Astyanax mexicanus: one gene and its partners. The protein of the gene in region 1 interacts with the protein of each later gene in a biochemical or structural test. Links are inferred from orthologs where the notes say so. Each region holds a gene or a part of one and is shown in the gene's direction. Other genes may lie near its edges.

Evidence for each region.
Region 2: the proteins of esr1 (region 1) and crebbpa form a complex in vitro, tested with the Homo sapiens proteins (2 studies listed by BioGRID). The link is inferred for Astyanax mexicanus from reciprocal best matches to the Homo sapiens genes ESR1 and CREBBP.
Region 3: the proteins of esr1 (region 1) and smarce1 form a complex in vitro, tested with the Homo sapiens proteins (3 studies listed by BioGRID). The link is inferred for Astyanax mexicanus from reciprocal best matches to the Homo sapiens genes ESR1 and SMARCE1.
Region 4: of the proteins of esr1 (region 1) and mapk1, one has a biochemical effect on the other in vitro, tested with the Homo sapiens proteins (3 studies listed by BioGRID, with this or other methods). The link is inferred for Astyanax mexicanus from reciprocal best matches to the Homo sapiens genes ESR1 and MAPK1.

What each region holds. Positions count from the first base shown.
Region 1 is NC_064408.1:79,147,624-79,155,781, forward strand, and holds the start of esr1 (estrogen receptor), read left to right. Parts: upstream 1-4,935; 5' UTR 4,936-4,994; coding exon 4,995-5,398; intron 5,399-8,158.
Region 2 is NW_026040046.1:1,676,321-1,683,915, forward strand, and holds the start of crebbpa (CREB-binding protein), read left to right. Parts: upstream 1-4,403; 5' UTR 4,404-5,261; coding exon 5,262-5,352; intron 5,353-7,595. UniProt on the Homo sapiens protein: Acetylates histones, giving a specific tag for transcriptional activation. Mediates acetylation of histone H3 at 'Lys-18' and 'Lys-27' (H3K18ac and H3K27ac, respectively).
Region 3 is NC_064426.1:13,043,737-13,051,699, forward strand, and holds the start of smarce1 (SWI/SNF-related matrix-associated actin-dependent regulator of chromatin subfamily E member 1), read left to right. Parts: upstream 1-4,846; 5' UTR 4,847-4,958; intron 4,959-6,250; 5' UTR 6,251-6,294; coding exon 6,295-6,301; intron 6,302-6,917; coding exon 6,918-6,961; intron 6,962-7,403; coding exon 7,404-7,508; intron 7,509-7,963. UniProt on the Homo sapiens protein: Involved in transcriptional activation and repression of select genes by chromatin remodeling (alteration of DNA-nucleosome topology).
Region 4 is NC_064429.1:30,990,870-30,998,971, forward strand, and holds the start of mapk1 (mitogen-activated protein kinase 1), read left to right. Parts: upstream 1-5,078; 5' UTR 5,079-5,328; coding exon 5,329-5,480; intron 5,481-8,102. UniProt on the Homo sapiens protein: Serine/threonine kinase which acts as an essential component of the MAP kinase signal transduction pathway. MAPK1/ERK2 and MAPK3/ERK1 are the 2 MAPKs which play an important role in the MAPK/ERK cascade.

The sequences.
Region 1 (8,158 bases):
CACAGTACTCTGTTTTGTAGGGGAATCAACCCAAGCACTTTACCAGTGTATGAATAGTTTTGGTTCAGATTAATACAGGTAAATTTAGTAAAAACAGTAATGGAGTGCAGCACTGTCAGTGCAAAAACATATTCTGCTGGCTCCAAAACAGCAAGAGATTCAATGGAAGTCAATGTTAAAACAGTTTATTTCAGGTTATTGGAGAATTTCTATTGGTCCATTCATCAATACGTTTTGACACAGTGTAAGAGACCATTTGTGTGTTCAAATTATGTAGTAAACTAAAATTAGACAAAAATGGAGATGCTTGTTTTTCATTGGACAGCAATAAATACTCTGCAGGCTGCAGTCACATAACCTTAATATATTCAGAATTTTGCTTAGGTTGGATTTGGCAATCTTAAAGGCCTTGATGCTTCACATTTGTGAATATTAGTTCCACAGACTACAGATCTGTCTGCAGAGTAAATCTGTTTCTGAAACAACACAAATGCACATATAAGCTTAGGCACCTCGCCTCTGTTGTTTTGCCACCCTGGTGTGGTGTTATTCTGGAAAACGTTATAGTTACTCATTAACAGAAATGACAGAAATCACAAGCATGATCTGTTGTGCCCGTACTGCTGCATGACACGTGCTTGCAAAGAGTTTGAAAAACAAGAGATGACATCCACAAAACCCTGACAAAAAAAAAAAATCTGTGGATTTGAGTCACATGAGCCTGGTTATGCGATTGTAGGCTATATGAAAAGTGATTATGTGACTCAAATCCATAGGCTTTTGAACAGTAGTGTGTACACTAGTTAGGGCTTTCAAAGATTTAAATAAACTTTTATTTTGTGTTGAGTGCTGCTACAGTGTGGATAATCATTCATATGGATATGGATTAAAGCCTTAAGGATTGTTGGCTGCAGGGTTTTTCTGAATTATCAGGCATTTTGAAACAGAGAAATGTTTACTTAAGTTGTCACAGTGATCACGTAGTTACCATTGTAATATTGTAATGCAAAATTGGCTGAAACTGAAACTTAATAAATAAACTGAAATTCTCCATTGGGTTTTTTTTTCCGTACATTGTTTTTTTTTTTTTTTTCAGAGGGCTTTGGAAAATGTGCCTAAAAGGAATCTTGTGCTTTTGTCAGAGTTCTTTGTTTGTTAAAGTGTTTTGCTTTTGCTGACAGTTCATTAGTCAAACACTTAAATAAAAAAAATATGTTCTGCTCAGGCTTTGCTGTTATGAACACTTGAGACTTGATCCTAATACATAATAGGATCTTTAGTGAAAGGGAAAAAAATTAGCCAGCAAATGCAATATTTGTGCCAAGATTGGAACTCAAAGTAAATATGTGGTCTTGTACAAATATTTGAAAGTGTGAGTAAATGTCAAGTTGTCACTAAACACTTGTGAACAGGCTTTGGCATTTCTATGAGTGCTGAGCATTTCAGAGCAGTATTCTGTATAATTTTAATATTGTATATTGTTAGTGCTTCAGCTCATTACTAATTCTACTGAGTTACATTCAGAGGAGAGAATAAATTGAATAGTAACTAAATATCTCATACTAAAAGACTAGTTTGTAAGAGAAATAAATACAAACATATAAAATAGCTGAACCACGTTCTAAACACATAAAGTGTGTAGGCTGGTAAATGGTTGGTAAATGTTTTTCTGTTCATTTTTTTAACGACTGATATTTGGAACATATTGTGGTTCATATTGAGGCGCAAGACAAAGGGGATTTCCTCACCTCACTGTGACCTGGGTTATTGTGTAGTGAATACTAGTGTGAATAATTATAGTAACTTAACACTTAGTCAGAACAGTCAGCACCTGACCACATTAGTTTATTAGAAAGGAAATGCCACTGATGAGCAGTTTGACTGATGTAAATCATGAAAAAAATCATACTATTATAATCATTTTAAAATTATGCAAAACCAGGTTCTACAAAGTATAGAAAAACATTGTATTTCTTTCCTAAATAAACCTTAATGTTTAGTTGAGTGAACCATATTCTAAAAACGTGCCTTTGCTGTAAACAGATCTATAGTACAGTTCATTTTATGAACATTGAATTCAAGGTTCTCGTTTGTCCTCACTGAGTGAATGATTGAATGTTTATCTAGAATGTTTTTATCAGTAAATCAGGGTCATCTGTTTGAAATCTGGTCAAAGTAAATTGATAATGGGTTCCAGTTCATTATAATTAGCAAGTACTTCATGTACACAAATATTACTGCAGACATTAGTTTAATTCTGTATTAATGAGAAACTTTATTAAGCTATTTTGCTATTTTTTTATGTACTTTAAAGTAATTGCTTATTATGATATGCTTCACAATACAGGGGTTACAATTCTGTATGGCACAGTATATTGCAATACTTTAAGAGCGTTTTTACACTTTTTCTAACAAAAAAAATAAAATAAAATTAGTACCACATCTGGTACCAATTTTGGGCCGGTTTGGGAGAGGAGCTCATTGCCACTGGTTTGTTTTTACTGACCGTGGACCTTGATTGCACAATTCCATACATACCTTTGCTATTAAAAACGTTGGATATTGGAAACAACTACAGTGTTTTTGGGATGCGTGGATTTTTACTGTAAAGGTGATACTCCAAACAAGCTGCCTTTATTCATGATTTTTGTCCATCAACAAGAGTTTTATGCTGTCAGTATCCTCACTGACTCCACAAAGCTGAGATTATTACAGTAATAAAGTACCACCAGTCCTCACATTGTGCTTTATTAGCCTCAAAAGCAGCTTTCACATTTGTCCTGCAGGGAAAGCACATCCAGTTCTGGAAAAAGGCCAGTGTAAAAAGTGTCATAGTTTAAAATATAAACCATATATAAGCAATCAGAACAACACTAAATGATCCACGGATGATCTGACACCAGTCTTTAGTCTTAGTGATCATTATATACTGTGTGTGTTGTGCCTACATCCTTTTTTGTTACTAGTTTAAAAGTGCTAACTTACTTCACAGCTCTTGTAAAATAACAGGACTTGAGGGTCCCCAAGTCTACTAGTATCCCCATGTCAATCGACCTGGAAGGAGCTGTGTGTTTTACATTGACCTGACCTTTCATTTACACAGTGTACCGCTAAAACCGTTTTCATAACTGATTTTACACGATACTGTGTGGCTGTTTTTCCTATATCTACTAAAGTGCACAGTTACTCATCCTTTCCAGTCAAGCCTTTCCTAGTACGCCCTGTACCCCTGCTGCCTATCTCAGAACTCCTACTCACTTTCCACTTCATTCTTCTGTCTCTATTAGTAACCGCTTATATTAAATTGAGATATTGCCTCATAAATATCATACCAGAGCAATAAGACTCTTTTAGCTGCTTTTCTCTTTCTCATTATTGCCTGATGAGTAAAAACTCTAGATTTTGACCTTTTAAAGCTTTTTATATTGTTTGTTTCAGAATGTAATTAAATTTCCGATGGCAGAAAAGCACATTACCATGTTTTTCTTTCTTTCGCTGCATCCGTCACCTGTACGGCTGTTTGGCAGCTGAATGAAGTGCTGACCTCCTGTCTCTTGTTTACCTGGTTGCGATGACCTGCTCTGCTATCGACCGAGTCGTGTCTTTTAATTTGCCTCCTTTTTTAGAAAGAGAGAGATGCAGACTGAAAGAACGTTTCTAAGGGGAAAGATGTGCGTCTGTGACAAGATAATCACACTGCTGCACACTCTTAACATAAGCAGAATATTCAGTAAATTACTTATAATCACTTCATAAGTTTAATACAATATCTTCAAACGAGTATTACACTGTAAACATAGTTTGTTCTTTTATCCCTTATGTCCTTATATCCCTTATATCCCAAGCTCTTAAATGTAATTAAAAAACGTAAAACAATCAACCAATGTTTTACTCAGCGTTTATTTAATCATTCATAGTAGTTACTGAATAGTATTGTTTGCTAAATCTGTAGTAGATGCTGTATAAGTAATGAATATTGCTGAATATTATAATAATCAGCCTCTACCATCATTAATGCTGCAAGATCTTGGTGAAAAATTAATGCAACACTGGATTGAAATAAATCTTGTGACATTGCAGAAGATTATTGAAACAATACCACAGTGAATGCATGCTGCAATCTAAGCTAACAGCGCTCCAACAAAATATTAGAGTGTGTGATTTTTTTTGTGTGTCCAGGCAGTGTTTATTCCTTGCTTTATTGCTTCATAATTTCACATGCGTGCATTTGTCCACCCTGTTTTGGCAAGCTGCATGAGAGAGTGGAATATTTTAGTGAAAACATAGTGAAAATTTTATAAAAACCTGGATGACATAGAGTTGCAGACATTTTGAACTGTTTAAAAGATACATTTTGATTTTCTAAAATTATATATATATATATAAAAAATGAGCATGATATTTTATACAGACAGGGTGAACATATTAAGCTTTACCACAAATACATTTAGAGACAATATAAGACACATTGAGCGGAAAATAGTATGCTAAATACTAAAATAAATGTGTTTTATTCATGATTTAACCATGTAAATGCACTGCAGATAAAGAAAACTGCATATAATATATTAAAAGTACTTTAAATTGAAGGTAAATATTATTATGCTTTTGTAATAATCTGTAATGAGTAAATAAGTAAAACAAATTATTGTTACATAGTGTTTGCATGATATTTAAACATATATGTTGTGAATACAAATGGCACATTATGTTGATATTGACAAAATTACATTTATAATTTCTTACAAACCTATTTCAGTATTATTTCAGTAATATGCTTATTACTTGCATATTAAACTAGGTATGAGAGACTGTGCTTGAATAAGTAGTGACTAAGAGTAAAAGAGGGAGGGGCTAGTGGAAGAGGAAGGGTAGGGGAAAGAGAAAGAGAAAAATCCCTTTCTCTTAGTCAGAGTGTGAGAGCAGCTGGTGCTGTAAGTCATGCTGCCTGTGAGTGTGTGTGTGTGTGTGTGTGTGTGTGTGTTTGTGTGGTGATGTCTAGTGAGCAGGCGCATGCTGAGGCTGCTGGTGGCAGCAGGCAGCGGCGCAGGAGCAACTCGAGACGAGGCAGTGAGCTGGAGCTGGAGCTGACCCCCAAAGTTTCCCCCATGTACCCAGAGGAGGGGGGCATCTCCTCCACTGTCCACTTCCTGGATGGAGCTTATGAGTACCACAACCCAGCCTCCGGCGTCGGATCATCCCCTGTGGGCTTTTACCCACCGCCTCCGGACCCCCAGCTGCCCCTGGCCGAAGAAACTCTTCAGTCTCTGGCCAGTGGGTCGGCCAGTCCACTGGTGTTTGTGTCCTCCAGCCCCCAGCCACCCACCTATCTGACTCACGCTGGGGGTCAGCAACAGGTGCCCTACTACCTGGAGCCTTCGGCCAGCTCTGTCTACAGGTCAGAATGACTTTAAACTATCTTTAAATGTATCATTCTGTTTCATCTCTGCAGGTCACACAGTATAAAAATGAGTGCTCATTGTTTTTAGTCATTTTGTTAAATGACAATGAATCTATATAAAGCACAACATGGCTTTTCCAGCTCTGCTGTCTTGTGTATGTTTGGTGAATTTACAATGTTTGATTCTTTGTCCTCAAGCACACCTTATTTATCTCTTGTGGTTAGTTACCACATTCAGTAGATGAGATTGAGCAGGAAAAGCAGCAACTGTGCTGGACAGCATTGATGTACAGCTACTATAAGGGCCCTTAAAAGGCTATTAGAATAAGAATTACATTAAGGATGCTAATACTATTCCTACTGATAACAAACTAAGTTCAAAATTTGTTTCAATATCCACACATAGAGCGATACAAAGTTGGTTAATATTTCTTTATGATTTGAAATAAGTGAAATGTTAGATGTGCAGTTCTGTTCTGAGGAAACATCAACAATAAAAAAAAACATTCTCTATATTTTGCCCATGTTTGTGTCATCAATAAAACACAGAAAATGAAAGTAAAGAAAGAACCTGCAAATTATAGTTATACATTCTCAATAAATTCACATTTAAGTAGGATTAGTAGTTGCTGTAACTATTAGTAGTTAAATGTATTTTAAAACAGAACAAGTGATTTGTATTTATAATAAGCAGGAAATAAAACCCACTGTGTGCATCTTCACATTCTTTGTCAGTACTACAAAGAACAGAACAAGTGACTTGTTACTCTTTTCCTGTAAATTGTGTTAATGTGTGTGGCTATGTGTGTGTGTGTGTGTATGTGTGTTAAAGACCTGAGATGAAAGATAAAGCTTCCTTACGCTTCAATTACGGCTCACTGAAGCACTGACTATCTGAGAGTCTGAATGAGCCATGTTTAGTCTGCACTCAGAAAAACAGATGTTACCTATTAAACCTACAGCATATTTACAAGAATTATTCATAGTGCATTAATTGTGGGAGGCATTCCTATTGATGCCATTATCCCTTTTTTACTAGCACTTTATTTATGTATATTCTAAATACCCCTTTTAAACAAAAAGGTTTCAGTTCTGTGTAGCACCTTAAAACGTGTTCTTAAGAGAGACTTTTTAGTTTTTTGGTGCTAAAAGTATTTTTAAAGTTCCCAGTAGAACAGCTTTTATCTTCATTAACTTTACAGAACAGCTTTTCAATGGAAAGAAACACTTCTTATAAGTATCCCAGTAGTGTATGGTCTGTACGAGCTCAGAGCTAATTTTGTTTTTAAACCTTGAGAAAAGAACTATTTGTGCAAATAACAGGAGTGCACAGAGATTATCACGTCCTCTTTGAAGGAAAAAATAAAACGACGGAGATGTTCCTTGATAAGTAGGGTTAATGGTGAATTCTGAGAAATTTAGCATATATATTTCCTTGTAATTTTTTTTTACTAGAATCCAGACACTTATTCTAATTATGTGAATGATCTACTTTAAGGTGCACACAATGCTGATACTGGTGTGCATATCGTCGCTGTCCAATAAAAAACTAGTAGCTCCATTTTTGTCGATTTTTAGTTTACTGCATAATTTGAACAGACAAATTGTCCCTTACACTGTGCCAAAATTTATTGATGAACAGACCAACAGAAATACATAAAATGTTGCAGTTTTGGAGATACTTGTTTTTCATTGAACAGCGATGATATACAGCTTGTATATAAGATTAACAGAAAAGCAATACTTGTGGGATTGGGCCCATCAGAGCAGACACACATTAATATTAAATATTAGTCATTCAACATCAGTGCTTGATCCTCAAATTCTCACAGGACTGTCACAGCCAACTATAATACTCTTGATTTCCAGAAAAATTGGATGGAAAGGGACAATTGGATTTGGACATGCAACATCTCATACAGAGTTAAAGTGTAAACATATGTTATTACAGTATTTTCTTATCAGAAAGAAAATAAACAGGATCTAGTGTACATCAAACAATGAGCCATAAAACCCAGTGAGCTGATTATGTGAGTGTTTTTCAGTGATGGTGGTCCAATCTGTCTCAGATGTTACGCAGTAGTTTGATGAACAACAGAATTAAGCTTAAAACAAACATTTACTTACACTAGAACAAGAGGTCAGAGGTGAACAGCGCCCATCTTGTGTGACCCTACTCGATGTCACGTACACAATACAGATGTGCTCAGAGTGTAGTTTAGTTGAATTACATTATCCTTTAAAAGTAAAAAAAAACAAAAAAAAAACAATTTGGCTGGTTACACATGTATGAAATAATATGTATATATGCAAAATGGACATGTATCACAAAATGAATAAGAACCTATCAAGAAAATAAAAAATGTGTCCAGAATGATGAGCTGAGCTGTACATGAACTGCATGAAAAATCTGTAGAATATCAAGAATTGAATTAACATTCAGTAAAATTACAATTAAATTACCCAAAATTGTTAACAGAATGCATTTTTTAAACTATGGTTTTGAAGCTGGAGTGTCAAACCCATTTACATAAAGGGCCATCATCTCTTCTGGAGTAGTAAGAGAGAGACAAAAAGGGGAAGAAAGAGAAAAAGTCACTAGGCATAAAAAAAACTTTCTAGAGGATTCTGAAAATCACTGCGTGTAAGCGCTGATTGTTTTCGGGGAGGGGGTTCAGAGCGCATATTGTGTTGCAGTGCATGCTGGGAATTGTAGTTAAGCATTGTAGTGAAAAGGGACAGTATTAAAGGGTAACT
Region 2 (7,595 bases), on another chromosome or scaffold:
TTTACCCTTTGCTTCCTGTTTTATAAGTATGAATTCATCCATTTAATAGAATCAATAGAAAAATTAAAATAAGATAATTTAGACATCATGTACATCACGATTTAAAGTATCAAATGCCCGTTTTAGATCCAAGAATAATGCTCTAATTACACCGCCTTCATCTAGTTTTGATTTAACCTTTTTAAGAAAATAGCAGATAGCTGTTTCTGTTAAATGGTTAGAACAGAAAACAAACTGCATTAAATGCAGAGGATTCAAATGAGATATCAACTGCTCCACCACCCACTTCTCAGCCACCTTGGAAACCACAGGTAAAATACTAACAGGTCAATAATTCTCCACAATTGCTCGATCACCTGCCTTGCAGATGGTGTTATGACAGCCAACTTCTGAAAAATGTCTTGCTTAATTGATTGGTTAATTAATTTAGTGATGGGACTAGCTAAGATGTCCTTGTGTCATTTTAAAAATGTAGTGTCCAAGCCATAAGGATCCTTTGCTTTAGAATTTCTGATGGAGTTTATAATGTTTAATACTGCAGATTCTGATGTTTGTGTTATTCTAAAGATTGGTCTAGCATCATTAATAGGTGTAGATAGTATAATCTTAGGACAGAAGTTCTGGATTAGCTGATCAATTGAGTTTATAAAAACGTTGTTAAAATATTTGCAATCATATCATAATCCTGAATTAAGATTCCATTTATTTAAAGTTCATGTTCCTTTGTTTTCTGATCATTACTCCTTCCAGTTCATTTATTAAGATTTTTCCAGATCATCTTTTATTTCCCCCGTGCATCTTCAATTATTTTAATAAAAAACTCAGCTTTAGCCTTCCGTATATTCCAGCGGTGTAAAGATACATTTGTCCACAGCGGAGGGCAGCCTCCACTCACGGCACGCACAATCCGCCTCACCGCCATCAATCCCACATTTTTGCAATAATTTATTTCCTGATTTATTTATGTGTGTTTTTCCTTGTCCTTATATGATAATGAAGGGGCGTTTTTTTCACATGCAGGCTTAGCAATCAAGCCCAGAGAGAGAGGAGCTGATATGAGTAGAAGAGTCCGGGAGCTGAAATCTAGGGTATCTGACATCAATCAACCAATAGGAATGCTAAGACACCGTGACATCATTACTGGACAGCCCCTTCATTATCATATAAGAACAAGGAAAAAAGAAATGGATGAATCAGAAAATAAAAAAATACAAAAATAAATAAACTGGGAAATAAATTATTGCAGAAATAAATATTTATGTGAATAAATTAACAAATGAATTTAAAGAAAAAATAAACAATGTTAATAAAGAAACCTATAAATAACAATTTATTAGGATATTTATTTTTATGTATATGTTTTTATTTTTATATTAATTATAATCATTCTTTACCGTTTTAATCATCATACTACTTTTATTGAGTAATTTACATTCGCTTTTATTTATTTATTTATCCTCCATAACTGAGATGATCATTCCAGACGGTTGTACTTGTTCCTCTGCATGAAGCTTTAGTAGATTTGGAGCAGAGTTTAGGGTCGTTGTCTTGTTAAAGTATCCAGCCCCAGCGCAACTTCAACTTTCTCACTGATTAAACACAGTTCTCAGGAATCTGCTGATATTGACTGAAATCCATGAGACTCTAAACTTTAACAAGATTCTCAGTAGCTGCACTGATCACACAGCCCCACAGCACGATGAACCACCACCACGTTTTACTGTACTTTTTTCTCCATGCATAAATAACCGTCCTCCAAATAACTAAATTTTAGTTTCAGAAACTTATTCCTTAATGAAGCTGACTTAAACATGTCCCAACTAAGCTTCTTTAATTTATTTACATTGTACTTTAAGCAATTTTGAAACCAGTACTTTTACATTTTTATTTGCGTTAAAACGTTGAGTTTTGACTTCAAATCAACAGTATTTTTAAACCCTAGAATCTATACTCCTGAGTAATGAATAAATACTTTTGACACATTCAGACAGTAATGACATGTTACACCAAAAATTAATTAAGTTCTTATTTTAAATGCTATCATTGTAAATATTTTATTTCCAAAATAAAGTAGCTATAATATTATAATAGCCAGTTTGTATTACATAGCTACCTCACTGTTTTCCAGCTCCTGGAATGTTTACACTTATGTAACATTTATTCAGTTCTAATTCTCTTAATAAGTATAGTAATAGTATAATCTAAAAAACTTTTAATTAAAATACAGTTTTACAGAGACAGCATCCAAATCTGGCAGCCCCCAATCAGGGCCTTCCTGAACAAGTTCACTTTCACCACACAATCAGGAGGCTGTGGTTCCCGCTGGGCCTGAAAAATAACATATCCTGAGGAAAATGAGTTTTAAACCAACCAAGACCTGGTCCAGGGTGCTGAGGAGAGAGAAGGTAGTGGACAAGTTCCTGTCACACTTGGTTGGTGCTGTAATTCCTCCGATCACAGAAAAACCAAATAGGAGCCTTGAAATGATCTACAACTGTAGTCTTAGGGACACATCAGCCGTCCAAGCCACATTTAAAGATCTTAACATGTGACTCTCCACAGTTGACATATCTTGGATTGGATTTATCAGCATTGCATTTTGCCTTGCATAATCTGGCCACTTCTGGTATACAAGGTACAAACTAGCTGTGGAGGAAGTTTGAGCAGCGATATTCTACCTTTGGCGGCATGACCAGGTCCTGAAGACCATCTCCAATACCATGGTCACCAAGTATGTCTGCCACCAGAAAGGCATCACTTTTCAGGACAGGAAGCTGCTAATACCACTGATACAAGAGCTACTGCAAACATGAAGATATCAGAACAACAAATTCAGTCTTTATCTTAACCTACTTTAGTGTCTATTTCATTCCTATATAGTTTATAGTTGTTATATAATTTGTAGTTTTTTTTTTCTGTAACACTGTTTTGCAGAGTAATGCAATTTCAATTGTCTGTATGTCCTGTACATATACAGTATTGATAATAAAACTACTTGACTCATTCACCCATCATTAAATCAAATAAACGTAGAATTATAACTAAAGAGATCTGGCCAGCTAAAAGAGAACACATCACAGTCCTCACTAAAATCACTGAATTGATCCACTCTGAATAGAGACTGCACCACAATACTCATTTTAAAAGTATTTTTAGTATGCTCAGTGCAATTACACATTCTCATTTAAAACTTACAGACTGTCACGTTAAGTACTCTAAGCACTCTAAACAGTTTAACTGCATTTTCTATGGAGCTTATAAGATAAGTTTTTTAAAATCTGCATTCAATTCACCTGACTTTTAATTAACTTTTTGTTTGCTTTTTTAATCTGTGAGGTGATAAATTTCACTGTTAAAAAAAAAGTCAATTATGACTTTCTCCTATCTATTCTCTGTACTCTCAGACAATGCGCTATCATGGTTCAAATCAAAATTGCTCAATCCTGCAGCTTTGCGCTTTATAACATCAGATAGGTTTGACTACAACAGGCCACCCAACAGTGCTTTTCTGGTCTTCTTTCTGGTACACCTCGACTACTGCAATGCTAACTGGCCTCCCGGACTGTGTAGTAAAACCACTTCAGATGCTTCAGAATGCAGCAGCACGTCGGGTCTTCAACCAGATAAAACAGGCACACGTCAGCCCACTACACAATGAGCTCCACTGGATCCCAGTTGCTGCTCGTAGTAAATTCCACTAGTCTCTTTCTTCTATGTCCTCTGTTGCTAATGTACATAATTATTTGTAAGTTGCTTTGGATAAAAGTATCCACTATATGTAATGTAATGTAATTTTATCAATTCCAATCTATCAAATTCCAGGTCTCTCCTTTCAAGTGAAAAGGATTCTAAAGTGATTCATATCTACAAATCTACAATTTTTCAGATTTAAAAAGCTCTTATCCATAAAATTCAGATCCATCAATTTTACATTTAAAAAATTCTAATCTGTAGATTTTCAGATTTAAAAAGTTCAGAGCCATACATTTTCTGGTGTAAACAAATCGTATCTGTAAATTTAAGAGAAAAATGGTCTGTTTTTTTATCTGAAAAAGTTATTGTTATTTGAAATGTATGTTTATTCTTTCACCACCTCTCCTAATTTAATTTATAACACAGATATGCACTATTAATATATTAATGTATAAATTACTAAATTAATATTTAATGCTTATAAAAGTAGGGTAAATGTAATTTAAAAGTTAAGAGCACAGATTTTAACACTAACAGCAGCTGTAAAGTTGTGAGAGTGAGCGCCTCGGTCTCTCCGTATCCGCGGTCCTGCATCGCCCCCAGCGGCCGCCGCGCGCGCTGTACTGCGCCGCTGTGACGCACGCTCCGTCGTTACGTAGGGCGTGATCGCCCCTCCCCCCGCCGCGCGCTGGAAAAAAAGAAAAAAAAACTTTTTGTATCTGAGGAATCAACAGCCGCCATCTTGTCGCGGCTCGGGCTGGGGATTTCGATACGGCGCTATTTAGTGTTTTGGAGCGGAGCGCGGCCAGGCGGCCTTACTGCAGCCTGCGAGGCCCCGGACGCGGATTTCGGCAAGAAATCGGGGAATCGAGCGGCGGCCGTCGGACTAGAAGCGTCGCGCTGCTGCGCTGTGTGGGATTTCCCCTCAGCCCGGAGCTCGGTATTGTTTACGGGGAGCCGTCGGTCGGTCGGTGGTTCGGAGCTCGGAGCTCGGACGGCGTCGCGGGGGATCCGCTCGCGCTGCATTTTTATGCGGCTGCGGGTCTGAGGCGAACCCGGCCGCCGGTTTGCCTCTTTGTTAGTTTTTGCAGGGATTTTTTGGACGTTAAATTATAGAGAAGCTGGTCTGTTTGGTGTGATGCACATTTAACGTCGTCCGGTGGGAGGGAGAGAGAGAGAGAGAGGGACGGACACACACACATTTATACACTCTCACACACACCAACACACACATGCGAAAATCCTGCGGATTCGCTTCGTCTTGTGTTTAATTCGGTTTCTATGAGTAAACGGGGTTTCTGGGCTCTGTCCGGGGCGCTTTATCGGCGATAATGTGGGTGTTGGGTGGTGGATTATCATGGGGTGAATGGCGGTGGCGACGCGCGGCGCTGTTGTTGCTTTTTTGAAAAGCCCTTCCTCGCTGCTAGCCAGCTAACCCAGCTAGCCTATAGCAACCCCCCCCCTCCTCCTCGTCCGACTTCTTCTCTAAACACACAGAAAGTAACTTTCCCTCCCTCTCTCAGACCGAGCTTATTCTTTACCCCTTATTCTAATCGTTTGGGAGGAAAATGGCTGAAAATATGCTGGATGTCGGACCGCCCAACCCAAAGAGAGCCAAGCTGACAGCACCTGCTCTGCCTTCAGCCTCGGACGGAGCAGGTAACACCTACCCTACTCTAATCTACTCTACTCTACTGCTGTATTCTTTCTATTTAATTATACACACACAAACCCCTCAGCTTCCTATTGAACCAATAAACACTCCAGAGAGACCTGCTGCAGGTCTCAGAGACGCTCAAGTTTAGTAGCTTAGTAAGCAGTTAGCTGAAGAATACACAAACTCAGTGCTAATCTAACTAGCTACCATAGCAGCGTGCTAACGACACCTGGCTAACAACTACGATAGATAGATAGATAGACAGATAGACAGACAGACAGATAGATAGGGAAACTAGATATGAACAGAGTGGGAGATATAAAGATGGATAGACAAATAAATAAGTAGAGAGAAACAGAGAGCGAGACAGATAAATACAGTGGGGAAACAGATACAGACGGACAGATATTGGGAGACACACATGGATACAGATATAGTGGGAGACAGACATTAGGATAGATACAAATGGAGGATGAGAGAGACAGAGGTAGAGAAACAGATACATTTCAGTGGAAAACATAGGCAGACTGGGAGACAGGCAGATTGATTGAGAGACAGACTGATAGATGGAGAGAGACAGGCAGATAGAGACTGACAGAGTGGTAGACAGTTAGATAGTAAGACAGCGAAAGAGAGAGATAGATAGATAGATAGATAGATAGATAGATAGGGAAACTAGAGATGAACAGAGTGGGAGATATAAAGATGGATAGACGGACATAGAGAGAAACAGGCAGAGTGCGAGACAGATAAATACAGTGGGAAACAGACGGACAGATATTGGGAGACACAAATGGATATAGATATAGTGGGAGAAAGACATCTAGAGATACAGAGACACTAGGATAGATACAAATGGAGGGTGAGAGAGACAGAGGTAGAGAGATAGATACATTCAGTGGAAAACATAGGCAGACAGTGAGACAGTCAGATTGATGGAGACACAGATTGATATATGGAGAGAGACAGGGAGATAGAGACTGACAGAGTGGAAGACAGTTAGATAGTGAGACAGCGAAAGATAGACAAATAATAGAGAATAATAGAGAGAGATGGACAGATATATGGGCAGATAAATATAGGCAATAGGTAAATAAATAGGTAGACATGAATAGAGAAGGAGAGACAGATAGTTAAATACATTGGGAGACAGATAGATGACAAATAGAGAGTCAGATAGGGGAACAGACAGAGAAAGAGACAGACAGATGGGTAGGTAGAGACAGGCAGAGAGAAGGACAGGCGAATAGATGGTTAGAAAAATAGTGTGGGAGAAAGAGACGGATAGATACAGATGGATAAAGATAGAGAGACAAATAGACAATATAGCTGGGAGAGACAGACATACGGGTAGAGAGACCGATGGATAGGTAGGGAGAGAGAATGGGAAAGAGACATTTTGATACAGATGGATAGAGTGGGGGACAAATGGATTAATAGAAAGAGATAGAGGTAGATAAAGAGGGACATGCAAATAGATATCTAGACAGATAGAGAGGAAGAGAGAGACAGATGGGGGACAGACAGAGAGACGGATAGATAGAAACAGGCAGAGAGAAAAAATGGCAAACAGAGGGAGTGGGAGAGACAGACAGGTAGAGAGACCAATGGATAAATACACTGGAAGTCAGAAGAGAATGGGTGAGGCAGATACACTGGGAGATGGATGGATAATTAGGGACAGAAATATAGAGGCATATGGAGAGACAGGCAGGTAGAGTTTATGTGAGAGAGACAGATGGATAAATACACTGGAAGACAGAGGAAGAGATATATGGTTGGAGAGGGTCAGACGGACATGGGTAGAGTAAGTGGGTGAGAGAGAGACAGAGAGACAGACATAGTGGGAAAGACAGATAGAAAGGGGCAGACAGTATGGGAGAGAGACAGACAGGTAGATAGACACAGAGATAATACACTGGTAGACATAGCTAATGCAGACATATAGAGTGGGAGAAAGATAGATGGAAAAATAGAGGTAGAGAGACATACAGATAAAGAGAGACAGATAGGAAGAAAGTGAGAGACAGTTAATCACAATCTAATGTCTTGCTTACAGTATCGCAATGTAGGAATAGGTTGAATAATTTACCCTGTATGGTGGAATGTATCATATCCCCAAATTCCTGCCAATGCACAGCCCTAGTGTAGTCCACTGTAAACAGTGTAGTGGGTAACATGTCTGTGTTTTGTGTTCATTCAATGAGGTCCATGTGTACCGTAGCCTGTGAGTGAATAAATGTTG
Region 3 (7,963 bases), on another chromosome or scaffold:
GTGTTTATTCCCGTGAAGAACTGCTGGCCCTTCGACCCGCGGGACGTGGGGGCATTGTCCACTCAATACCGGGGGAACTAAGGAGGAATTACCGAGGCTGTAGGGCCGGAGCTAAGCTAAAGGCTAAGCTAAAGGCTAAGAGTACGGAGAAGCGCTGGAGGTACAAACCCTCAGTTCCGTCGGTGGTTATGGGGAATGTCAACTCACTGACCAACAAAACCGACGAGCTAGCGTGTCTGGTGAAGAATCAGAAGCTCTACAGGGAGTGTAGCGTGCTGTGTTTCACCGAGACCTGGCTCACCCCCAACACGCCGGATGCTAACGTGGAGCTACATGTAAACGTGAAGGAGGTGATCTGCTGTCGGGATATTGAACTGTTAGCGGTGAGTCTCCGACCTTATTACATGCCGCGGGAGCTCTCTCATGCGATCCTCGTCTGTGTTTACATTCAGCCGAGAGCGGACGTACAGGCGGCGTGTGACGTCATCCACTCCACCGTCGCAGCGCTGCAGACACAGCACCCTGACGCCTTCTATAAGGCGTATTTTGAACATGGTCTGACATTGCAAGCCTTGTGCAGTCAGCAAAAACTGTTCTACAATTCAACGGAAAATTTTGCAGAGCCATGATTGCACTGACCTAAAGGCAGGGTAAACACTATGGATATAAAATGGCGGGGGTTACATTATGTGAAATAGGGGGTACATCATAGACACATGATTACAACGTTTCAGTTATGTGGACCTTGCGTGCAGAGTGTGTATGAGTATGTATGGGGCTATGTCACGGTACGTAGACACTGCGTTGTAACCCACGTAAGCGTCTTATGAATATGGAATACAATACGTTGCATGACATCATGTGTTGTCAGGCTGCCTTATTACAATGCAAATGTATGCATAGGCGCGTTTACCGATTGGATGTTAGATGCCAAAACGTGTATACACGAACAGTTTTACCGCCTGTACACGTGATTTTTTTACGTGTGGACACGTCATATTTTTACGCGTGGAGGCGTTTCTTTCCCACACGTTTTGGCTTAGTTGGCTTGCCATATCTATGTGATTACTGGTGATTTTAATCACGTAACGCTGGACTCTACACTGCCTGCCTTTTTCCAGTTTGTGGACTGTCCCACCAGGAAGAACAGAACCATAGACTTGCTGTATGCTAATGTGAGGGATGCATACAGGGCTATTCCACTACCACCGCTGGGGAGATCAGATCACAACCTGGTCTTCCTACAGCCTCAGTACAAACCACTGGTACTGAGGCAGCCCACTACCACACGCTCATTCAGAGTCTGGTCTCCTGAAGCAGAGGAAGCCCTAAGGGACTGCTATGACACCACTGACTGGAGCGTGCTGCTGCACCCACATGGCGAGGACATTGAGGGGCTGACTCACTGTGTTACAGACTACTTGAATTACTGTATGGATGTTGCTGTTCCCACAAAGACTGTACGCTGCTTTCCAAACAACAAACCTTGGATTACCAGCACCGTCAAGGACCTCCTCAACCAAAAGAAGAGGGCGTTCAAAGATGGAAACCTGGTAGAGCTGAAGCGCGTACAGGGGGAACTCAAGGTACGTCTTAAAGAGGCCAAGGAGTCTTACAGGAAAAAGGTGGAAAGAAAGCTGCAAGATAACAACACAAAGGAAGTCTGGGGTGCGATGAAAACCATCACTGGGTGCAAGAACAACAGCGGCAACCCAGCAGATGGGGGTGTGGACAGAGCAAACCAGTTTAACAACTTTTACAACAGGTTTGACTGTCCTGCTCCTGCTGCCCCCTCCTTCTACCCCCCTGCATCTTTACCATCATCTCCATCTCCACCGCCACCACCATCATCATCTCCATCTCCACCATCTTCATCATCATCATCACCACCATTACCCTCTCCTCCATCTTCACCACCACCACCACCAACCTCATCACCTCCATCATCATCTTCATCACCCTCACCTCCACCATCTTCATCACCACCATCACCCTCACCCCAACCATCTTCTTCATCATCATCATCACCACCAGCACCCTCACCCCCACCATCTTCTTCATCATCATCGTCACCACCATCAACACTATCAGCTAGCAGACAAATCAGCTCCTCCAGTCCACCAACCTTTACTGCAGACCAAGTCAGGAGACAGCTGAGGAGACTTCACCCCAGGAAGGCAGCTGGCCCGGACAGAGTGTGCCCCAGAATGCTCAAGGCTTGTGCTGTTCAACTGGGTGAGCCCCTCCAACATGTGTTTAACCTGAGTCTGCGTCTAGGGAGAGTTCCTGCCACGTGGAAGACAACCTGCCTCGTTCCAGTTCCTAAGAAGGCACACCCGAAGGAGCTGAATGACTACAGGCCAGTTGCTTTGAACCATCTACAGCTGAACATCTCCAAAACCAAGGAGATGTGCATAGACTTCAGAAGGTCCAGGCCCTCTGCTCAGCAGCCAATCTCCATCGAGGGGGTCAATGTGGAAGTGGTCAAGTCCTACAGATACCTTGGTGTGCACCTGGACGATAGGCTGGACTGGTCAGTGAACACTGACTCCCTCTACAGGAAGGCCCAGAGCAGACTGTACTTCCTCAGAAGGCTTGGGTCCTTTAACATCTGCCAGAAACTCCTGCTGATGTTCTACCAGTCTGTGGTAGCCAGCGTCCTCTTTTACGCTGTAGTGTGCTGGGGAGGCAGCATCAGCAAGAGGGACGCTGGACGACTGAACAGGCTGGTGAGGAAAGCTGGTTCTGTGTTGGGACTAGAGCTGGAGTCCTTAACACCACTGGCAGAGAGGAGAGCCCTCAGCAAGCTGCTGAACATCATGGACAATGTTCACCACCCTCTGCACAGCACCATCACCAGGCAGAGGAGCTCATTCAGCGGCAGACTGCTGTCCCAGTCCTGCTCCACAGACAGACTTCGAAAGTCTTTTGTCCCTCAGGCCATAAGACTTTTCAACTCATCTCAGCACAGCAAACTGAAGACTCTGTGACACCTTTTCTTTCCAGCAATTCTGTCCACACCATGGACATACCCCCATCTATGGTCACACTATCTTGCTGATGCCCATAACACTATTTTTATAGTTCTACCCTATTTTGCACTAGTAGTTCATTCACTAGTTCATTCATCTACTGTTTACGTATCATTTGCACTGCTAAATTTAAATTATTATATAACTGTGTTTGCACTTTCTGTATGGCGGACATCAGTTATCCTTATCCTTACTTTATGCACATCAACTGGTGTTCGCTGTCTATTGTGTTCAACTGCACTACCTCCATTTTACATCACACACACACACTAAAGACTGTATTTTTTTTATCTTTTTGTAACTTTGTGTACTATACACACCTGCTGCTGGATGTCTATCTATCTATCTATCTATCTATCTATCTATCTATCTATCTATCTATCTATCTATCTATCTATCTTTCTTTCTTTCTTTCTTTCTTTCTTTCTTTCTTTCTTGCTTGGATATGTTTTTCCAGTCCAGCTGCTCTCTCTTCCTCTCCCGTTCTCTCACTCTTCTCCCAAAAAAGCTCCTAGCCCCGCCCACTACTTAGACTTTTGACTGACAAGCAGATAAACTAATCACCTTGCAGCAACTAAAAAGATATCTCAACAGAAATTACTGAATTAAAATGTGAGCACAAATAAACTATTGTAAAAATGAATGAACTTGATGATTTAAATGAAGTTTTAATATAATTTCCTTGAAATCTCTTTTTAAATAACTGAAAAATTAAACAAGGCTACATAATAGACCAGTGCAGCCATGTTGTCAGTTTGTAGTTAGGTCCCCTTTCTACACTGCTTTTTTCTTTGGGCAAAATAAATGTGGTTTTCAAAAGCTCGCCTCTATCACATTCTGTGGTAAATAAATATGTTCAGAACCCTGTACGTTTCATTCTGTGTACATCACTGGATCCTCTGAATTATGAAATCGATTAAGTAATAAGAAAAATGCTAACTTTAAGCTCATGCTACAGCGCACTGAATTGATGGCACAGGCAGAGATATGACACCAGCAAACTCCGGATAGGTCATGTTTTTTATTATTATCCTCACAGGGAATCATTGATTAGTTTGATTTGATTAGTGCTCATACCAATATGATAGCACATAGAACATTCATCTGTTTCTCTAATCAAGCATCCTAATACCACAGCAGCTACACTGGAAAAGCATGGCACAGTGTTTAAAGAATGTTTCTGGAGTAACACTGTGCTGCTTGTTTTAGTGATTTTCTGCTGTAATCCTACCAGCTCACCTCAGAGAGGGTAGTTAGTTCATTAATTGGATCAGCTGTAATATGCTGTAAAAATAGGACTGGAGTTTGCTGGCGTTGCACTAAACTGAGAAAGCACTCTGCTGCTGTGCTGTGACGTCGGTTCAGTGCGCTGTAGCATTAGCTTTAAGCTAGCATTTTTCTAATAATGACTTATAAACGATCTCGTAATTGAGAGGATCCAGTGTTTTTCTGGAGAATTATGTACTCAGAATAAAACATACAAGGTTCTAAACATATTTATTTACCAAGGAATGTGATAGAGGCAAGTTTTTGAAAACCGTACGAGGACTACAGAATGACACATAACTGCAGTGGCCTATATTTTATGTTAAATGCTGAAGGGGAAACGCCCCCTACAGATATAATGCCCATGGTGTAATTACACAGAGCATGTTTAAAGAAAAAATATTGTATTTTATTATGTAATGTAATATTATATTATGTCCAGGTCATTATTTCTTCGTGTGTTTGTTGGAGTCTAGAAAACACAAGCCTACAGAGCGGTATAGACAAAGATACATTATCGGTACTGTGCTGCCCCCTGCAGTTCAGTGTATGTGGGACACTGTGGGGGTACTGTGGCTGCGCTGCCGCAGTGTTTAGGCCGGCCTGCGGGGGCAACACTGAGACCGTGCAGAGTCAGGCGGAGGGAACAAAGGAGCGCGGGTGAGTGTTTAAAGCGCCCAATATTTCTAAAATTAATCTTTAAAACTGGCAATTAAAGTTCGGATCGCCCTTCATATTGTGTGTTATGAGCCTTAGATCACGAGCCCGGCTGTTCGGGTCGGTAATGTTGGGTTATCTGTCGCCGGTTTCTGACTGTTAGGGTTTGGCTGCGATAGCGGAGCTTCATCGCATTCAACCGATTATTAACCTCACCGCGCTGCTGTTTTACTCCAGCTTTTTAGCTTTTACCAGAATGTATCCAGACAGTTTACGCAGTTTAGGAAAATAAGTGTAGAGACCGCTTTGTAAGTGTGATTTATGATCATGAGGGGTAATGTAGGTTAACGAGTTATATTTGTTGTAATTCTGACTATGAAAGGGTTGCCGTAGCTGCTAAAGGCTGGGCTCACAGATGGATATCCTCAGTCCGGGCTAAAGATAAAATTAGTATTTTAATTTTAGAGATTAATTAACTCCAATCACCCGACGTGTTTTCTATTATATAGAGTTACTTTATTATTAGTGAAAATCAGCCCACATTAGCTCTCACTGCCGAAGCTAAATTTAGCTAGCCTAAGGTAGATTAGTTTATTTGAATTGTTCGTTCCACCTTAAATGGTTACAGCAGGTTAGGGCAGCTCTCAAGCCCCGCTGTAACTGCTGCACAATTTAAGGTGGCACAAACAATTCAGACAAGCCAACTTCAGCTGCAGGCTAACACGCGCTAACGTGGACTATAACATTTCTTTTAACACTTTAATGTTTACTCACGTAGCCTTAATTACTTATCTCCGGTTTTTAATCTAATTTTAGCTACTGTATTACAATCCTAAACATGCTTAACCTCGCTAGCTAGCTTGCGTGTTTTTTTAGCAACGTTTATTTCTTTTATTCCGGTTTAGCTTAGCACAGGGTGCTAATCTGCTAATGCTAGGTAACTTGCTAACTGGCCCGAATGCTCGCACTTCTAGCTACAGATCGCATCGAGTTATTGTTTTGGGAGAGTTATTATTGCATCTCTGTTGTTACAAAATACACTTTAAACGTTACAATAGTTAAATATAACGTTTATGCCATTAGATTCGTTTGGTCAGTTAAAATAGTATGGTAGCTATATTCTAATAATGTTTATGTTGTTTAGTAGTCCAGGAGCTTGTATTGTTATAGTAAATCGTATAATCTCTATTCACATGAAATTGTTCAGGCAGATATAGTCATTTAGGGATGTTTTAATGTGCCATATGGGACTGAAAGCGTGCCTCTATGTCTAATCCATCTTTACCCTATTGTAGAACCGTGATGGAGTTAGCCTGATATCCTCAATCCTGCAAACAAGATGTCAAGTAAGAGCTCTAATTTTATCTGAAGGTCATCTGTAACCCTTGTCTGAGACCACCTGTATAATGCTTTGCTGTTATGAATGTTGTCTTAAGGCCCTGTATGTGAACCTCTGAACCGTGCAGCCTTTCTATGCCATTTGCAGGAACGGCTTGTTTAAAGGGGAACTTAGCCAGCCATTTAGAATTGTGTAATTCATTGTGTTTGATGAATTCATTTGTAGTGGGGTCTTGGTGTAAAATTGTGGCTTATTCTAAGCAAATTTACTCACTGATTCACCATAACTACAATACAAATGTAGCCATTTTATTTTCTATCCAAGCCCACCAATGAATGTGTATGTTTTTCTCAGAACAGTGTTCCATGCAAGTTTCTTTAGATTGGAGCATTTTACACCAAGCCGACTCCGAACGTCTTTGTTCACGTCATACCTGTTTAACTACACAGATAATTTAGGAAATTGATGGGATAACCCTGTGAGTGATGTGTAGAAGTGATGTGAGTAAGATTCAACTGAAGCGGATGCGAGGTATAAGTAGGTTTTAGTACTGCTTCGATAAATGGCAAACGTCTCATTGTAATGGAATAATGTCTGCCCTCTGTGTGATTTTTCTCTTACAGAGCGGCCCTCGTACGCCCCTCCCCCCGCCCCGGCCCCCACCACAGTAAGTGTTCCACCACACCATCCATAAATGACCACATCACCCACACCAAACCTTAAGACCCCTGGAAGTGTGGAAAGGACTGCGGGATGATGATGATGATGATGATGATGATGATTCTTCCATGGGGTGGCTCAGTAGTACATGTTCCAGATGTTACAGAATATCCAGCTTATGCTGAGTTTTTTTATTTTTTATTTTTTATTTTAAAACCATCTCATTGAATTTAAAGCCCCCCCTTCCCCCATAGTGTGTGTGGCTTGGCTTTGAGTGGGTGTAAAACAATGCCAGGTTGTGCTGCTGTCAGATTGCTGCTTTTTGCATGTCTTATGCAAATCATGACCAAAAAAAGCAAAAACAAATCTTCCTTTTTTCTTTTTTTTGTCCCTTCCTCCCTTGTTTGTGTCATTTCTCATTCGTGTTTTGTCTCATTTGTCTCCATCAGCAAATGCCCACCACCCCTGGGTTTGTGGGGTACAACCCATACAGCCATCTGGCCTACAACAACTACAGGCTGGGAGGGAACCCCGGCGGGAACAACAGGGTAATGGTAGGACAAAAGGAAAAAGCAAAACTGCGTAGCTGCAGCAGAGGAGCTAGAACCCCAGAGCAGAACTGCCCGAGCTGACAACCTGGGCTGTAACCCAAAAGTCGTGCTATTTTACTCTAGTCTGTTTTACTACTTTTAGTTTGGAACATGGGCTTCTTATATTAGGGGGCGGAGCAAGGAGAGACTTGATATCATGGGTAGCTGATGTAGATCTTAGATGCTTCTGTACTGTCCTCTTCCTCACTCCTTTTGTAAACCACTTGGCCCACTCTGTCCACTCTGATTTTAAGTTACAGGTTTCCAGTGTTAGGACATCACCCTCCTCATTAGTTTGCATGAGTGCTATGCCCTTCAGCTTGCTTGGCTTCTAAACATAAATGGCTATTTAGAGATTTGTTTATTTTTCTCATTAGTATTGATTAATTATTTGCATAAAGTTTTGAAAAGCTCATATT
Region 4 (8,102 bases), on another chromosome or scaffold:
GCAGTAAAAAAACATGATTAAAAAGTGTTCTAAATCACATTAAACTAGTAAAAATTTGCTGTTTATTAGCCTCAGTGGATCTATTACTACTGTTTTTCCAGTGTTTTTGAAGTGGGTGAGGTCAAGCTACTGTTTCATTTGTGTATAAACCTGGTCCTGAGCTGGTTCATGGTCAAGTCTGTTCTATGGACAACAGCTCTCAATTAGTGCTGTGTGCAACAAACCATTTTAAAATAAAGAAAATAAATGATGTCGTTTGTAATGGATGCAGGGTCTGAAAGGGTTAAAAAGAAAATCTTAAGGACTGCGGCTGTAGCATGGAATAGCCCAATTAGTCTAGGATTAAGCTTAATCAGGGTCAGAGAGGCTGACCTTTAGAGTATAAGAGCTTGTAAGAATATACCTTACTTTCACAACTGGCCTAAAGTTAGATTTGTGCCAAAATGAAAAGTGAATTATGCTGAAATATGGATGTTTTTTTATATTAATTGAAACACACAAAAATGAATTGAAAACTGTACACAGACACAGTACCAGTCAAGAGTTTGGACACAACTTAAATTTAGTGTTTTTTCATCATTTATTTAAAAAATAATCACACAAAAAATTGTTTACCAAACCTGGATATGTTTTATATTTTAGATTCTTCAAAGTAGCACCTCTTGCCTAGATGACAGCTTTGCACATCTTGACTGGATTTTCTTAATCAATTTTATGAGGTAGAGTCACCTGGAATTCAGGCTTTCAGTTAACAGCTGTGCTGAACTCATCAAGAGTTAATTACTTGAATTTCTTGTCTCTTAATAAAGTGTTTGAGAGCATCAGTTGTAAAGTAGTGAAGAGGTAGAGTTACAGGTATACAGTGAATAACTCTATTTGAGTAACATTCTAATCCAGATTATTAGAAGCAAGAACTACTCAACTACTTAAGTAAAGAAAAAAATACTTTTAGAAAAGAAGGTCAGTCAATCTGAAACAAAAAAAAAACGTTATACTGCAAGTTAACAGCTCCCCAGATAAGAGCACCTAAATGCTACACAGAGTATTTTGGTTTGTTTAACAGTTTTAAGTTACTACAAGATTCTATATGTGTTCTTTCATAGTTTGGATCACTTCAGTATTCATTTATAATATAGTAAAAAAAAATTAAAACAAAAACTTTGAAATATGAAGGTGTGTCCAAACCTTTGTCTGGTACAGTATATCGTCGCTGTCCAATAAAAAAAAACAAGCAGTATCTCCAAAACAGCAAATTTTCAGAAGAGAGAAAAAACCTTCCAAACTTTCAATGGAAGTCAATGTAAAAAGAGTTTATTTCAGGTCATTTTAAGTATTTCTATTGGTCCAGTGATCAAGACATTTTGGCACAGTGTAAGGCACAGTTTGACTGTACCTTACAAGACTGATTGTTTTTTGTTCATTGGACAGCAACAATATGTATGATGTCTCCCAACCTGAGGCCTTTATATTGGTGCCTTATTTAGTTTCCGTTCAGCTTGTTCAGATGTATTTCCTGAAACATTACATGCAGCATTTAATATATATATATATATATATATATATATGTAATAATAATTTAATACATACTAAGCTTGACAATTTTATCTATGTTCTATAACCCTGTGTCTGTGTTTGTGTGTAGTACTGTACTTATATAAGTGTTGGTAACTTTTCACTTTTCACTGCCAGGATTGACTCTGTCCAACTGGATGTGTTTTTGTATTGTATGCACTCATAACTCATAATACTGTAGTATTGAATAGCCATCAAATGTATCACATAATTTAATGTTAATAACTAAAGTGATCTGGACTGATTGCAGTATTTTATGTGGACTCATTTTCTTAAATGTCAATGAAAAGTATTGTATTATATTATATTGTTCATATAAGTTCATAACAGCTTTATCAGCTTTGCTGTTGAGTTGAGAGAGTTGAAGTCTGTTCAGTGATTGTGATAATAATAAACTATAACCACATTAACTCCTTTGTTCTGTTTTTGGGTATTAGGATTATTTATTGTAACAAATGAAATCTTTTTCCTAGGTTTAATCCAGACTCTTGGTTACGTAAGAGCAGCTGCTCTACCTGGATCAGAGCTCTTTTGGGCGGACTGATGGTTAAAGGGATTAATTCAAATCCACTTACCCTCATGTTTCTACCTTCGCTTTCTGTTTCAGGTTTGACCGTACAGTTAAATTCATAAGTATTTTTACAATATGTGTATTTTTTATTAATATAATTTATATATAGCCAATAACCCTACCCACTCATAAGGACTCCCCCATCACTAGTGATGCCCCAAAACACCAGGAGGGGGATGCCTCCTTCGATCCATGTGAAGTCAGACTCCGCCTCTTTTTAAACAGCTGATGATGCAGCATTACCGAGTAGCATCACAGCGCGTTTAGAGGAAAGCGCAGTGACGTGGTTCTGATACATCAGCTCACAGACGCCTTGTGCTGATCCACATCACCCTAGTAGTGATGAGGGGAAAGAGTGCCATCTACTGTTCCCACCCAAAGAGAGCAAGACCAATTGTGCTCTCTCAGGGCTCTGGCAGCTGATGGCAAGCTGCATGACTTGAAGTGTGTGTAATTTGAATGCAGACTTAATACAAATATTGTAGTAAAAGATTGAGGAGATTAATGTTAAATACATGCCAAAAATCATGGGATAGCAGTATTAATTATATGTGACATGTACATCCAAGTGTATAAATTGAAGTGTTATCTCAGGGCATGGTTTGGAAACAAAAGCCCAAACCCTTATAAGTTGTGAGGTGATATCTTGTGAGTGAGGTTGAATAAACAGGGGCTAACATGCTCATGGCAAGGCAATGATAATTATTGTAGTTCAAGGCAGATCCGATAATAGGTGCAGATGGATGGGGCATTTCACTTCCATAGTATAAAGATAAGAGCATTGAACATTCCTCAATCCACACTGTCAAACATGTACCAGGAATGTGCACTGTTATCCATATTCTTTTCTTATTCGACTCACCCTCAGTGTGTAGTGAGTCCCGCCACGATGCCTTAGATAAACGTGTAAATCTGGAGAAACATGTTTTTTTTTTACTAAAGGCATGAAGTGAAACACATATCCACCAAACATGTTTTGGTGGATATGATTAAAAATATAGTGCAACATTTGTGTAACTTTATTGTTAAGATATGTTTGCAAGACAATTTTAAAATTGTAGTAAAAAATAACAAAATTTTGCATCTTGCACGCATTTGCACTTCTACCCTGCGTTTTAAAGTTAAAGTAGCACATAATTTTCTAAAATGAGTAAATTTAAAAAATAAAAAATGATTTTTTTTTCAGGTTTAACTTAAAAAAACAAACAAAAATAACTGTATAACATTTACAAGAAAGTTTTTTTAAAGTGCAGGTTAACATTGCTCTTTATTGTAAGAATATGTACATTCAGACTAAATGTTGAAAAATATATTGTTACACAGAGTATAGATCGATACTTTATTTATTCCTGTAGGAATTTCATAAAAAGGAAATTAGGAATTAAGAGTTTGTATGAAATGTAAACCCATAGGTGGCAATTATCTACTTTCTCATGTACAATTCGGGAAACATGATTTCCTTTTTTTGTTTATAGAATAATTCTGCATGTGTTCCTGTATAGCTATAGCTTATATTCTGAATATTCAATTCTAGTTTTTTATTTGGAAAATGAAAATTTTCTGACAAGTTTTCTGATCATTTGTAGGCTGACGCTCCTGTGTGGTCACGTGGTCTCCGCCGTTATTTCATGCGGGAAGCAGCTCGTAGTGTTCGATTCAGTTAATCGAATCGGTTCTATTAAAGGGTTCATTTTATCGAATCGAAAGTGCCAATCAACAAGTCATTCAGTCACAAATCATATGAGCTTTTAATTTCGTGTAGAGATAGAAGAGATTTTCACACAGCATTAGCTCACTTTCTCTGTTCACTGCTTTCACTTACTAGTGAACTAGAGATTTGACTCTCACAGAGACAGAATCGATTCAGAATCGATTGTTTAAAGGTTAGTCTATCTATATATCTATCTATCTATCTATCTATCTATCTATCTATCTATCTATCTATCTATCTATCTATCTATCTAGTCTGATAAATGTATCTAAAGCGTGTCTATTACAAAGCAATAATTTATATTATTAAATTATGTATTAATCATTGCTTTTAAGATATAATAAAACAGATAATGAAACAACAACAACAACAATAATAATAATAATAATAATAATAATAATAATAATAATAATAATAATAATAATAATACATTTAAAGGGACCATCTGTAAGATTTGGGGATTTAGAGACCTCTCTGATGAGAGAATGTGTGGAAAAGTCCTTTAAATTCAGGTTACTGTAAATGTTGTGTAACCCTTTTTTTAAATTAAATATTTTTGTTCATTTATAAAATACTGTCAGACTGCAAGCAATTACAGCCTAAAAACAAACCAACCAGACCACTTGATTCTGTTTTTAGAATGATACCAACTAATTTGAATATTTTGTCCCAAATTTCACAAGGGACAGCTGCTTTAATGAATCAATGGACTTTTACAATCAATGGAAATTTTACACACTATTTCACACACTAACTGGGAAAAAATAGACTATAACTTGGATTGTTGCGTAGATTTTTCTATCCCAAATGTATCAACATTAATATAACATTAATATAACATTATAGTCATTATGGCTTTAAGAAAAAATGTGTTTTGGGAGGGGGTGGTGCACTATAGGATCCTGTGGTTTGGCCTAAGATTTTATCCTTAATAGCCTTATTTTTCCCTTTACTTTTTTTATTACTTTTACTTTTATACATTAAGTAGTTTTGAAACCAGTACATTTACTTTTGAGTAAAAAGCTTGAGCTGATTTCAACTTAAAATTCTACAGAAGTTTTTTAAACACTAGTATCTATAATTTTATCTGAGTAACGAATGTGAATTTTCACACCTTGTTGCGTATCGGTTCGCACAATGTGTTCACAAGAAACGATTCGAATGAACCGATTCGCGCACGATCCGGGCCTCGCTCGCTGTTTGCTCGCGCTGGCTCCGCCGCCGCCTGCCTGCAGTCTCGAATCGCACAGCGGGCGTAGCGGAGCGTCACTGAAGTGGAGTGATTTTCGCTGCAACTTTTTGTTGTTTTTACTCACTTTTATCGCACCAGAAGAGCTTTTTCTAGTGCGGACGGCTCGTGCTGGGTGTTGTGAGACACCGAAACTCGTCGTTTCTGCTGTTTGGAGAGTCGTGGCTGTGCTGCGGGGAGTGTATGTGTGAGTGCGGGTGTGAGTGAAGGCAGCTCGGTTCAACAATGGCGACGGCGGCTGCGGTGTCTGGTCCTGCCGGCGGAGGCGGCACTAACCCCGGCTCTGGGGCCGAGCTTGTCCGCGGGCAGGCCTTCGACGTGGGGCCACGATACACCAACCTCTCCTATATTGGGGAGGGCGCTTATGGCATGGTCTGGTAAGTTTTTTTCACCTTAATACTCATTTTTATATTATATTTAGCCCTCGAACACACAAACAAATAACTTACATACACAGTTACATAGCTACTTTTTCTTTCATTTTAAATTGATTAAATATAGTTTAATAAGCAAAATCCATCAGTGTAACATTTAGCAGTTTATTTTTCTGACTGTATCAAGCTTAAATCGCAAATTCAAAAAATAGGGTATAAAACTTTATACTTTTTCCATTTACTATAGTGAAGATGAAATGGTAATTCATTCAGTTATTAAGTTTTTCATATCTGCCTTTCGCGAACAGAATTTCAAGAAAAATGAAAAGTTTTCTACTTTTGATTTTCAGATTTGTCTATTTTTGTGTCTTGTATCACATATCCGATGTTATAATCCACTTGCAAAATGCAAAAATCTAAAAATCAGAAAAATTTCCTGTAATTCCGATTGTAAGGGAAAGTGATGAAAAAACTAAAACTTGAAAAATGGATAAAACTTATTTCTTGAGCACTGAACTACATAAAAAAATATGTTTTTACATTCAATTTTCTAATTTTGAATTTAGCCTCAAACGGTCAGAAAATTAAACTGCTAAATGTTATAATGACCAAAAACCTGCCCTACATTTATTTAATCAGTGCAGTGTTTAAAGGAGAAATCTTGTGTGAAATGGACTTGGTTTGTAGTGAAACTTGAAAACATGAAAAGTACAAACTTTTGTTGAATAGCCCTCTTTCTCACTTTTAGCTGATGCTCCCAACTAACAGGCTTACTGGCTTACACTGCTGTACAGTGAGGGGGCATATAGTAGGCCATGCAAACAAATTAAAATCATAATTACCAACATTACAAAGCTCAAAGTAGCTCTACATTTCATTGGGAGAATTTCAAGCGTCCTAACAGTTAAAAATAGTCAAAAAATGAGGCTTTAAAAATGCACATTTAGTTTATTAAAAAGACTTTTTATTATACACATAGTACCTTCAGGTACTTCTCTGGGTGCTGGCATCTTGAAATCAAGAAGTGATAAGTCGACTGATGAGCATGAATCGGTAGGATAGGGTGACAGATTGCAAAATTAATTCTGTGCTATTTTTTCAATATTATAGAGATATTCATGCATTTCCACATGCATGTTGATTTTGCATTCTTGCATAGGCAACTCTGTGCCCCTATCACTAGCATTGTAAGCCTGTTGGGAGCATCGGCTAAAAGTGCTTTATTTCAGAATGATGGTGGTGAATGGAGGTGGAATATTTAACAAAAGTTTCTATTTATTATCAAGGATCACTACAAATCAAATTTATTTCACACAAGATTTCTCCTTAAAGATTTGTTTAAGCACTGCTAACTAGCACTAGCTACTAGTGCAACTGGATTATTATTAGTACCAGCAGCATTGTCCTTACAAGTTGGTAGAGTGTGAAAGAAAATAAAAAAAAGATAAAATAAGGACAAAAACTAAAACAGTTTCTCTTGATAATTCACTCCCTATCCTATATATATATATATATTGTTCTGAGTGGTTGCATTACAAACCCTGGATGTAGGATAGGGAGTGAATTTTTTTTATATTTATTTTATTTTATTTTTTTATATATGATATATATATATATATATATATATATATATATATATATATATATATATATATAGCATATGATTTGTCATATTTCAGTTGATTTTTTTTTAAGGATTTTGATGTTTAATTGTCAGTTAAAACATTTGAGAAGCAACCACTTCTTTAGCATGATTGCAGTTTTGTCTAACTGCATATTGTTTCCATGATTCAACAAATTAAAAAGCACTAAGAAAATAGCCAAAATAGGCTTAACAGCCAAATATTCATCTTTATATGTAATAAAATGAAGGGACTGTGCAATAACAAAAACACTTATTTTCAAGAAACATTGTCTTATATACTAAACAAATTAGCAATTTACCTTACCGATTCACTCTTCTGTACCTCTAGGTTTTACAATTTTAGATCATATAACTCATTACATGTCCTTAGCCTATACAATATAGGCCTGCCAAGTAATTTTGTGGACAATATATCATCACATAAATTATTGCGAAATTAAATTATTGCATAATAAATGCCACTGACACAATGATAATAGCATATAACAGAATAACAAAGGAATTATATCCTTTTTATAAAAAACACAAATTTTAATTAATCATAATTATGGTGAAATATGTACTTTTTCATTCATCCAGTTATTAAAGTGTTGGTAACTACATGACAAACAAACAAACATACAAATACAAACACAATAGACAATAGACACAGTGGGTAATGTCCATTTATTGCACGATAAGTCAGTAATGTAATGTATACATATAGTACATGTGCACGTAAATTGAAATAATGCCTATAAGACTAGCTGTGTATTCTGTTGTTTCCACTTTTTAACAAATATGAACAAATTTGCAACATTTAATATTAAACTGTTGTACTTGTATTTTAATACACTCCTTTATAGTGCTGTTGAATGGCTTGAACAGGCTCTGATTGAAACTGGGACATGGCAGGGTGGCATAACTTCGAATAATGAAATGGGTCAGGTATACTTGGTCAACTTGACCTAACCCAGGCTGAAAGCATGTAGCACCAGCTC